2 linked regions of the Oryctolagus cuniculus genome follow. The protein of the gene in region 1 purifies or fractionates together with the protein of each later gene. This does not show direct contact. Links are inferred from orthologs where the notes say so. Each region holds a gene or a part of one and is shown on either strand. Other genes may lie near its edges.

Region 1 (4,414 bases):
CCTGTGTAGGTGGCAAGAACCCAAGTACTTGGACTATATTTGCTGCCTTCCCAGGTGCGTTAGCAAGAAGCTGGGTCAGAAACACAGAGAACCCAGGACCAAACCAGGTGTCCCAAGTAGCAGCTTAGCCTGTGGGCACAACACCCACCTCCTGGTTAGGAGCCTCAGTGAGTTTCTCTCAATGAGAGAGGGGCAGATGTGCAGGGGGTTAAGCTGCCACTTGGGATGCCCATATCTCATAGCCAAGTGCCTAGGGTCAAGTCCTGCCTGTGCTCTAGCTTCCTGCTAATGTAATAGCTCAGATACTTAGGTCCCTGCCACTCCCTGGGAGACCCAAGAGGAGTTTCTGGTTTCTGGTTTCAGCCTGGCCCAAATGTGGGCATTTGGTGAGTGAACCAGTGAGTGGGAGTGTGCTTGCTTTCTTGTCTTGCAAATAATAAGTAAACTTAAATTGTGTCTGAAGCTAACAAAGAATACAGTTTTTCTAAAATTATTTTTTATAGCTTTTTAATGCTGTTGTCTGCTTTTTTCTCCTGTGTAGATGTTCATCCTGGACAAGGTTGATGGTGATACTTGTTCCCTTAATGAGTTCACCATAACTGGATCAACGTACGCACCTATTGGAGAAGTGTAAGTAACTTTCTGTATCGTTTATAGAATTCAGTGTGGCACTTGAGTATTTGGAGAGATTTGTAGTATACCTGGAAAGTTCAGACAGCTTTCTAAATATGGCTGAGGTCAACACAGCTAGAAATAAGCCCAATGTGCTGTAATAATGTTTCTTCTTTTGACAGGCATAAAGATGATAAACCAGTGAAGTGTCATCAGTATGATGGTCTTGTAGAATTAGCAACAATTTGTGCTCTTTGTAATGACTCTGCTTTGGATTACAATGAGGTGAGATGCTTTGAAACTTAAACTTAGCTGTTGTTCAGATGCAGGGTGGGTGGCATGAAAACCCAGCCTGCCTTCATCCCTTTTGAAAGTGAGGGTTCCGTCTTTGAAAGGTGGAGTTAGAGAGAAGTCTTCCATCTACTGGTTTACTCTTCAAATAGCTGCAATGGCCAGAGCTGCACCGGTTCAAAGCCAGGAGCTTCTTCCAGGTCTCCCACGCAGGTGCAGGGGCCCAAGAACTTGGGCCATCTTTGCTTTCCCAGGCCATAGCAAGAGCTGGATGGAAAGTAGAGCAACCAGGACTCAAACCGGCTCCCGTATGGGGTCCCAGCACTGCAGGCAGCAGCTTTACCTGCTGTACCACAGCGCTGGCCCCAAGGGTTCCTTCTTAATGAAGAATGAGATGGGAGAGGGAATGGGAGGTGGGTGTGGGGGGAAGAAGAGCTATATTCCTAAAGCTGTAGCTATGAAATTTGATTCATAAAATAAAAGCTTTCTTAAAAAAAAATAAAGTGAGGATTCCTGATTTTTTCCCTTTCCACCCAGAGGCCTGCCTCTCTAGGGCCAGCATGGCCCAGCCAAAAAGGCCAGGAGCCTTTCATAGATCCCGTGACAGCGTTGCAGAATTGCAGTCTGCATGCCTGATAGTATGGTTACTGTGTGTAAATGAAACTCAGGATAGAAGATGTTTTTCTGAAGGTTTTGGTCTTGCTTTTTGAGATGGGATAGCATTATACCCTGGAGAACAAGCTGAGGCTAGATGGCGGTTATAAAATGATAATATAAAATATAATCAACAGGAAACCTTTTTTTCCTCTTTTTAATTAAATAGTGGAGTGAATCCTTTGGTTTCTATTGCAGAGGCTCAGAATGATAAACAGTGACATGGAATTAATTATAAGTACTATTTGAAAGCTCTTTGAATTAATAGAAACTGTGGTTAGTGGCTTCTTATATTTGTGGGAATTGAAAAAGCGAATTATTAGAATAAGATAACAAGCATGCCTGTACTTTGAGTAATCCGGTCAAGAGTGCAATAAAATTGACCCCTAGAATCTTGAAGCAATGGAGGAAAGGTGGTTCTGTGGGGGAATTGCTAAAGAGAAATTTACCTGTGTACTTCTTTTCTCCTTTTCCATTGTGTATACCTTTAACTAACACAGGCCAAAGGTGTGTATGAAAAGGTTGGAGAAGCTACAGAGACTGCCCTGACGTGCCTGGTGGAGAAGATGAACGTGTTTGACACTGAATTGAAGGGTCTCTCTAAAATAGAGCGCGCGAATGCCTGCAACTCGGTCAGTGTTTGAGCTTGATGCATGTATTGTTGTATTGCCCCGAACTCATACCATACTGCTGTATACTTAGTCTGGTCATTCCCCTCTCCTGGACATCTACTTGTACCTTATCTCCTCCAGTTTATTGCAATACCTCCTTCCCCACATTCCCTCTCTTATAGAGCAAACTTGCTATGTATTTGGCCAAGACAATAAAAGCAGTCCGTAGATACTTTGCCCAGGCCAGCACCTCTGCCCGCATGGCTGCCTCTCCCATGGTGCTCTCCTTCCCAGCGTCACCTGTGCTGCACCTTGTCAGCATGGGGAGGCACAGTGCGTGTGTGTCCTTCGGTGTTGTTTCCTTTCAGCACCCCACATTTGTAAATACTGACTTCTTGGAAGTCTCTGTGTGTGTGTGTGTTATTCTCCTTCACTCCCTGTTGTCTTGAATCTACTCCAGTCAAGTTCCTGCTTCTACTAGTCCATGAAAACCTACTGCCCGGAGTCGCTTACGGCTTTGTGCTAAATTATGATCAAATCATTTGTGTATAAGAGTGGGAAAATGGAATGAAAAATATGAGTATTTTGAGGCAAAAAAATTTGTTGTAACGTGAAAAATACATGCTATGAAAATAGTATACATGGATGTCAAACATTCATATGTAATTCCACTTTTCATGAAGTTTTTTGTAAAAAGATTTATTTATTTGAGAGGTAGAGTTAGAGAGGCAGACAACAGAGAGAAAAGCCTTCCATCCATTGATTCACTCCCCAAATGGCCACAACAGCTGGAGCTGGGCCAATCCAAAGCCAGGAGCAATTCTTCCAGGTCTCCCACACGTTTGCAGGGGCCCAAACACTTGGGCCATCTTCTACTTCTTTCCCAGACTATAGCAGAGAGCTGTATCGGAAGAGGAGCAGCTGGGATACAAACCAGTGCCTGTATGGGCTGCTGGTGCTGCAGGCAGAGGCTTAGCCCACCATGCCACAGCTCTTGCCCCTTCATGAAGTTGTTCAAGTACCTTCAAAGGAACATAATAGCACATACAAGATTTATTTACTTGAAAGATAGTAACAGAAACAGAGGGAGAGACTCTGTTCACTGGTTCGCTCTCCAAATGGCAACAAAGACTAGAGCTGGCCCAGGCCAGAGCCAGGAGCCAGGAACTTCATCTAGGTTTCCTATATGGATTGCAGGGGCCCGAGCACTTGGACTGTCTTTAGCTGCTTTCCCGGGTACATTAATAGGGCTGAGGGGCTGGCACTGTGGTGGAGTGGGTAAAGCCACCGCCTGCAGTGCTGGCATCCCACATGAGCACCATTTTAAGTCCTTACTGCTGCACTTCTGATCCACCTCCCTGCTGCTGCACCTAGGAAAGCAGCAGCAGCAGGTGACCCGAGTGCTGGGCCCCTGAACTCTCCTGGGAGACCTGGAAAGAAGCTCCTGAATGCGGACCGGCCCAGCTCCAGTCATTGTGGCCATTTGGGGAATGAACCAGTGGGTGGGAAATCTCTCTGTGTGTCTCTCTTGCTCTGTCTCTATAATTCTGCCTTTCAAATAAATAAATATTTTAAAATTAGATTAGAATAAAAGGGGGGGGCAGTTGGGGGGGCTGAATGGGCAGTGGAGCAGCCAAGACTCAAACCTGCACTGATGGGATGCTGGCGTTGCAGGTGGTGGAGTAACCCACTGCACGTCGTCAGCTGCTGCAGTTTTTTTGGCCTTGGTTTTTTACGATTCATTTATTCGAAAGGCAGATGGAGAGAGTGGGGCGGGGAAAGCTCTTCCATCCATTGGCTCTCCCTTTATTTAACCCACAACAGCCAGAGCTGGGTCAGACCAAAGCAAGGAGCAAGAAGTTCCATCTGGGGCTCTCACGTGGGTGGCAGGGACCCAGACACTTGGGCCGCCATCTGCTGCCTCACATGTTCATTACCCGGAAGCTGGGACTCAAACTAGTACTGCAGTATGAATGCAGGCAACCCACGGCACCATTACACTGACCCCAGGATTGTAAATTTTAGTGCTTAAAACAGTTTCTTAATTCTATCTGTTAACCCTAGCAAGGCTGAACTTGAGTGAAAGCAGCCTGAAACAGATGCCAGCAGACACCGGCTGTGTGGTCAGCCTACAGCACCGGATGATCTCAGCAGCATCCTGGTCACCTGCTGACCCTCTGCTCAGCTTAAGAACTGCAGCTGGTTGCACCAAAGGGTAAACTCTGATGTCCTAGCCGGAGTCCTGA
Region 2 (4,978 bases), on another chromosome or scaffold:
TCATTCACATAATTTCCTTAATATGGGGCTTACTTTTAAGTTCTAAATCTTCCTGTAACAACGTTCACAAAGGTTCTTTGCTAAAATACTTTTCAGTTAGTTTTAGCTGATTCTTTAAATAACGAGCGATTTGCTGAAGAGAAGGATTTTATCTTTCTTTGGAAGAAGCCAAGATCATCTCCATTTAAGGACACACAGCAGCTGCTGCTACACATTTCGGTTACCCGTAAGAAAGTGAAGCGGGCTGAGTTCACTACACTGTAAATATTAAAAAGAAAAAAAATAAGAAAATTAAAAATAGTTCCTCTAAAAGTAAAGAAGAGCATTAAGAATCAGAATTTGCAGGTGCGCAATTTAAGGAAATCTTATATAAACAAACAAAAAAAATAGACAAACAGAGAATAGGAGAACTACAAACTCTCTTTTCAAAAGGATTCTTTTCCCAGTTTCCGGTAAGATAAACTGTTCTAAGAAGCTCAAAAATATTATTCCACTTCTAAAAATTTTATTTATGACGGTACTGCAAAAAAATTATGGAAATTGGAATTAAAGGTAGGGTTTTTTTTTTTTTTTTTGGTGCAAAAGTTCTTTTAAATCCATGCACATGAGGGAGTCTTCAAAGAGTTAATGAAAAATGCTTACTATGAAAAATTAGGCAAGGATTTCAAGGTTTGTTTTTTTTTTTTTGCACCCAAGAAAATACCTTTTAATTCAATTTTCCATGAACTTTTTGATGTACTCTCATACAGTAATTTTCAGGAAAGCAAGTGCTACATTAGATGAAGTGCATTCTTGAAGAAAAACTACACAATTTAAATTTTAACAAATGTAAATCCACCCAAATAAAGCTTCATTAACTCGGATGCAACTGATTAGGAATCTACAAATACTCCTTTTTTTGCTAGAAAATTACCTTGATACTGTGTCCGAGTATTAAACATTTAGTAAGACTTTAAGGTAATCTAATGCAGCTGTTAAATAATCTTAATTCCCTGTATTTGCAAATCGCTATTTTTCTTGGGGTGATATAGCAATTTACATGAGAATTATTATTGATAAGTACATTATTAAACCTCAAAGTGAAGAAAACACAAGTGAGTTAAACACATTTATTAGTTCCTACTTCCACTATAAGGTTGATTTTAAAAAAATATAACTAGTTATTAGAGTGGTTTTCTCAGACACTATCCCTCTCAAAAATACACAGGACTAAGAAAAAAATTAAAACAGGAAAAGTATAAAATTTAATTCCGTGAAAATGATAACCCATTGCCTTACTTGAACTTAACATTATGAAGATACGGTATTAAAGCAATAGTAGCAACAACTCAATGAAAGTTGTTGCATCTAAGCCTATGTTACTCTCATTCTATTAAAATTCCTATTACAACTATTTTCTGTCTTCAATATCATCACCATCAAAATACGATTATCTCTAAACCTGAAAGTGAATAAATCTTGAGCTTTCTACCACCCAAACTTATTTTATTTATCTGCCATATTTTTTAAATTAAAAGCAAAAATCGAAGCACAAAGTGTTAGTGACCTTTCCATACCTAAAGATAAATGAAGTTCTAAAGTTTGGCTGTGGTAAGACTATGGTTAACCAATCAGAACTTCAGAATTCCTGTGTGACATCATAAGACCTCCCTAGAATACTTTTTCTCCTCCACCTACTGCAACTATTCCCATAAACCTGGTAACAGAGTCAGAACACTTCCCAGCTACAAGCCCATTAAGACCTCACACTACTTGATATTCTGTACTGTGGTGATCACAGCAGCCAAGGTAAGAAATGGATTTCACTGGTTTTGGTCATTCATACTTTCTGAAATTCAAACTCACTGAGTTCTTAAAAAATTAATCATAGTTTTTAAATCTCAGTTCAAAGTTAGTGAAATGTTTGAAGTGGCAAAATGCTTAATATCTAAACAAATGTTTATCTATATAGTGACAGTAAAAAATAAGATTTAGTTTTAAAATTTAAAGAATCATATTCATCTTTAGCCCTGAATTGGTATTGTCGTTTAACTTTCACTTTTATTTTACTGTTCAAATTTAAATTTCTGCCAATTTAAAAATCTTACAATTGTATTATCATATTTAGTGGTGGTGATAGCATAACTTCACACAGAACAATGGCATAACTGTATTGTATCTTACTCTACTGAAATATAGTGCAGGAGTAGGCTATATATTTGCATCTGTAATAGTACGCATAGTTGTGTGACTACAACATGCACATTATCAGCAGGCTTATTCAGTATTGTCATTATGATCCCTTACTTAACTAAATAGAGTTTAATATATCATATTTAGAAATGTTCTTAAAGATTTTTCCTCTCCATAAAACTCAGTCAACTTTAATTTTAATTTTAAGGTATTTACTAATACATTAGATTCTGAGGTTCTAGCAAATACATGGATAATTACTACAGAACAATTTTCATGTTAATGTAATATTAATATAAAGAGAACAGAATCAAGAAATGGGCAAAGTCTAGGCAACTTTTAACAAACACTTCCAAAAATCCCATGTTTTTAATGAATGAAGTTTCTTTTATTAAATTCAATACAATATCATAAAGAACAAATTTGAAAATTTTAAAACATTTAACACAAAAATATAAAAGTCCTTGTAAAGGTACAGAAAGTTTCAATACTTTCAAAATAGAGATTATTTTAGCACTCACATTCTAAATATCTCACTGAAGCAAATTTGATTACATGAGTGATTATTCTGCCTACTAATGAATACACTTGTTAATTTATTGTCCTCTAGTGTTCCTTAGTTTTTTCTCTTTTGAGCTTAGCACGAAAATGACAAAAAGAAAGAAATGTCCAAGAATTGAGACAGTACAATATACTTGACTTCTGTTTGAATGCTACCATATTCTCTGTTAAAATCTCAATTTATTAGATGAAATGCTTCCTTATTCTTAAAGTTCTATCAGGGCATAAATAAGATGATATTTATTTCACTTTATTTTTGTATTATATACATTAAAAAAATTTATCTTAGAATTTTCAATTCTTGTAACAGTGTAAACTGTACTGTTTTCAGAACAAGCAGGAACGTTATAATTCCATAAGCAGTATTCCTTAAACATTTTTAATTTTGTCTACCACTAAGTAACCCTAATTTTTTTCAGTATCTTTGTATTTACAAAATGTTTTTCCTTTGTTCTTATGTAAGTCACTCTGTGAGGTGGTTTCATATACATATCTCTGCATTTTTACTCAAATATCTATCAAATTACATTCTAATACTTTAAACAGGGTATTCAAGAATTCTTCCATTGTATCCAAATTTTACTACATCACATATTATTCCAAAAACAAACACCTAGAAAGAGCAGAAATTCTATTAAGATTATCCTTAGGTAACCAGTGTGCTCAGGTTAACAGAAATTACATTGCTAAAGTGACTGCTGTTCAAATTTAAAACATAATGCCTACCAATGAGCCATATATTATGCCCCATCTAGTTCCTCTCTACTTTAAGATAATACTTTTAAGTATTGTATGTTTATAAAGACTTATGGTTTAAAACTAGTGTTACATAAGATGGAGAAATATGAAAGAAGCATAAACTACTAAAAAAAAAAAAAAAAAAAGCCCTAGGTTTCAAAAGCATGTAAAAGAACTACAGAGTACTTGCAGGAGTCACATCAATATCATTTCCTAAAACATGAAACATCAAAATTAGATTTTACGAAAATGAATCTTGATGTGAAAGGAAGGGGAGAGGGAGTGGGAGAGGGGAGGGTTGTGGGTGGGAGGGACGTTATGGGGGGGAAGCCATTGTAATCCATAAGCCGTACTTTGGAAATTTATATTCATTAAATAAAAGTTAAAAAAAATTAGATTTTAGTAGATAAAAAGAAAACCCATTTGGGATGTATATTAATTTTTTTTAATCTCACTAATTAGAGGTAGGAGAATATTTGCAAAAATAAAGTAAAAAACTTACTTTAAATGTATTATATAAAGTAATAACTACATGCAACACACTAAAAGTTTAACTGAAAACCTAAATTTATGGTGTAAATCACCTCTAAATTAGACTATATAGTTATTACCAGTCCTAGAAATGAATAGAGTCAGTTGTCTTTTTTTTTTGTTCTGAAGAGTAATTTTCTAAATGCACTAGTATACATAAATATTTCATTTGTTCCTCTGAATTCTTTGTATGTCTGATATTGTATCTCTGTTTCAGAATTTAGGCCAAAATGCAAACTGCCCAACGTCATGGAGCTAGGCAATACAGGGCCTTTGGCAGGCACTTAGCTCTATGACTCTGAACCACATGCACATCCTATACCACTGATCAACTTGGCTTAAAAATAAACAATGACATTAACAGAGCAAAATAGACTGAAAGAATTAATACTTTGCCATTCTACAAGACAAATTTAGAGAATCCAACTTCTTCTATTCATTTAAAACAATTCCATTTAATTTACAGTTAAGTTGTATACCAGGCATTATATTCCTAATAGCCTAAATGATATTCTATGGATCATTTTCAAAACCAGGGACTATAAGAAAGATATCCTTAATTATTAAGCAATATACCACAACCAGTCAAATTAAAGTTTCCTGGGCTGATCATACTGGCAAAGGAACAAATATAGAGTTTGGAAATAAAGTAAATAAAGCAATAAACTTATAAATTAAATGAGTGGTCTCTCTGAATATTTCCAGAAACAGTACATCAATGTCTTTAAACCCTGCATGTATTACAAATACAGTGCCACCCCAGTACACTTACAGTCCTCTGAGGCCCTCTAGTGTTTTCTAAAGGTACTCCGTCTTCAGGGTTTTCAAATTTAAAAAAAAAAAAAAAAGCTGATCAATTCACTCACATTAACAAGGGTGTACTTATTACGTGGCATTCATTTTTCCTTAAGACTTCCCTAACATGCCAAGATGATATTCTCTTCAAAAAATAAGTAAAAATCTGAAGTCTCAACTC

What was found. Proteins that work in one complex are often made in the same cells at the same time.
Region 2: the proteins of ATP2A2 (region 1) and PLN purify together in Homo sapiens (affinity purification with western blotting; 4 studies listed by BioGRID). This does not show direct contact. The link is inferred for Oryctolagus cuniculus from reciprocal best matches to the Homo sapiens genes ATP2A2 and PLN.

Annotation. Positions count from the first base shown.
Region 1 is NC_091452.1:8,025,121-8,029,534, forward strand, and holds part of ATP2A2 (sarcoplasmic/endoplasmic reticulum calcium ATPase 2), read left to right. Parts: intron 1-541; coding exon 542-630; intron 631-794; coding exon 795-897; intron 898-2,057; coding exon 2,058-2,189; intron 2,190-4,414.
Region 2 is NC_091436.1:51,760,773-51,765,750, reverse strand, and holds the start of PLN (cardiac phospholamban), read left to right. Parts: upstream 1-1,697; 5' UTR 1,698-1,788; intron 1,789-4,978. UniProt on the Homo sapiens protein: Reversibly inhibits the activity of ATP2A2/SERCA2 in cardiac sarcoplasmic reticulum by decreasing the apparent affinity of the ATPase for Ca(2+).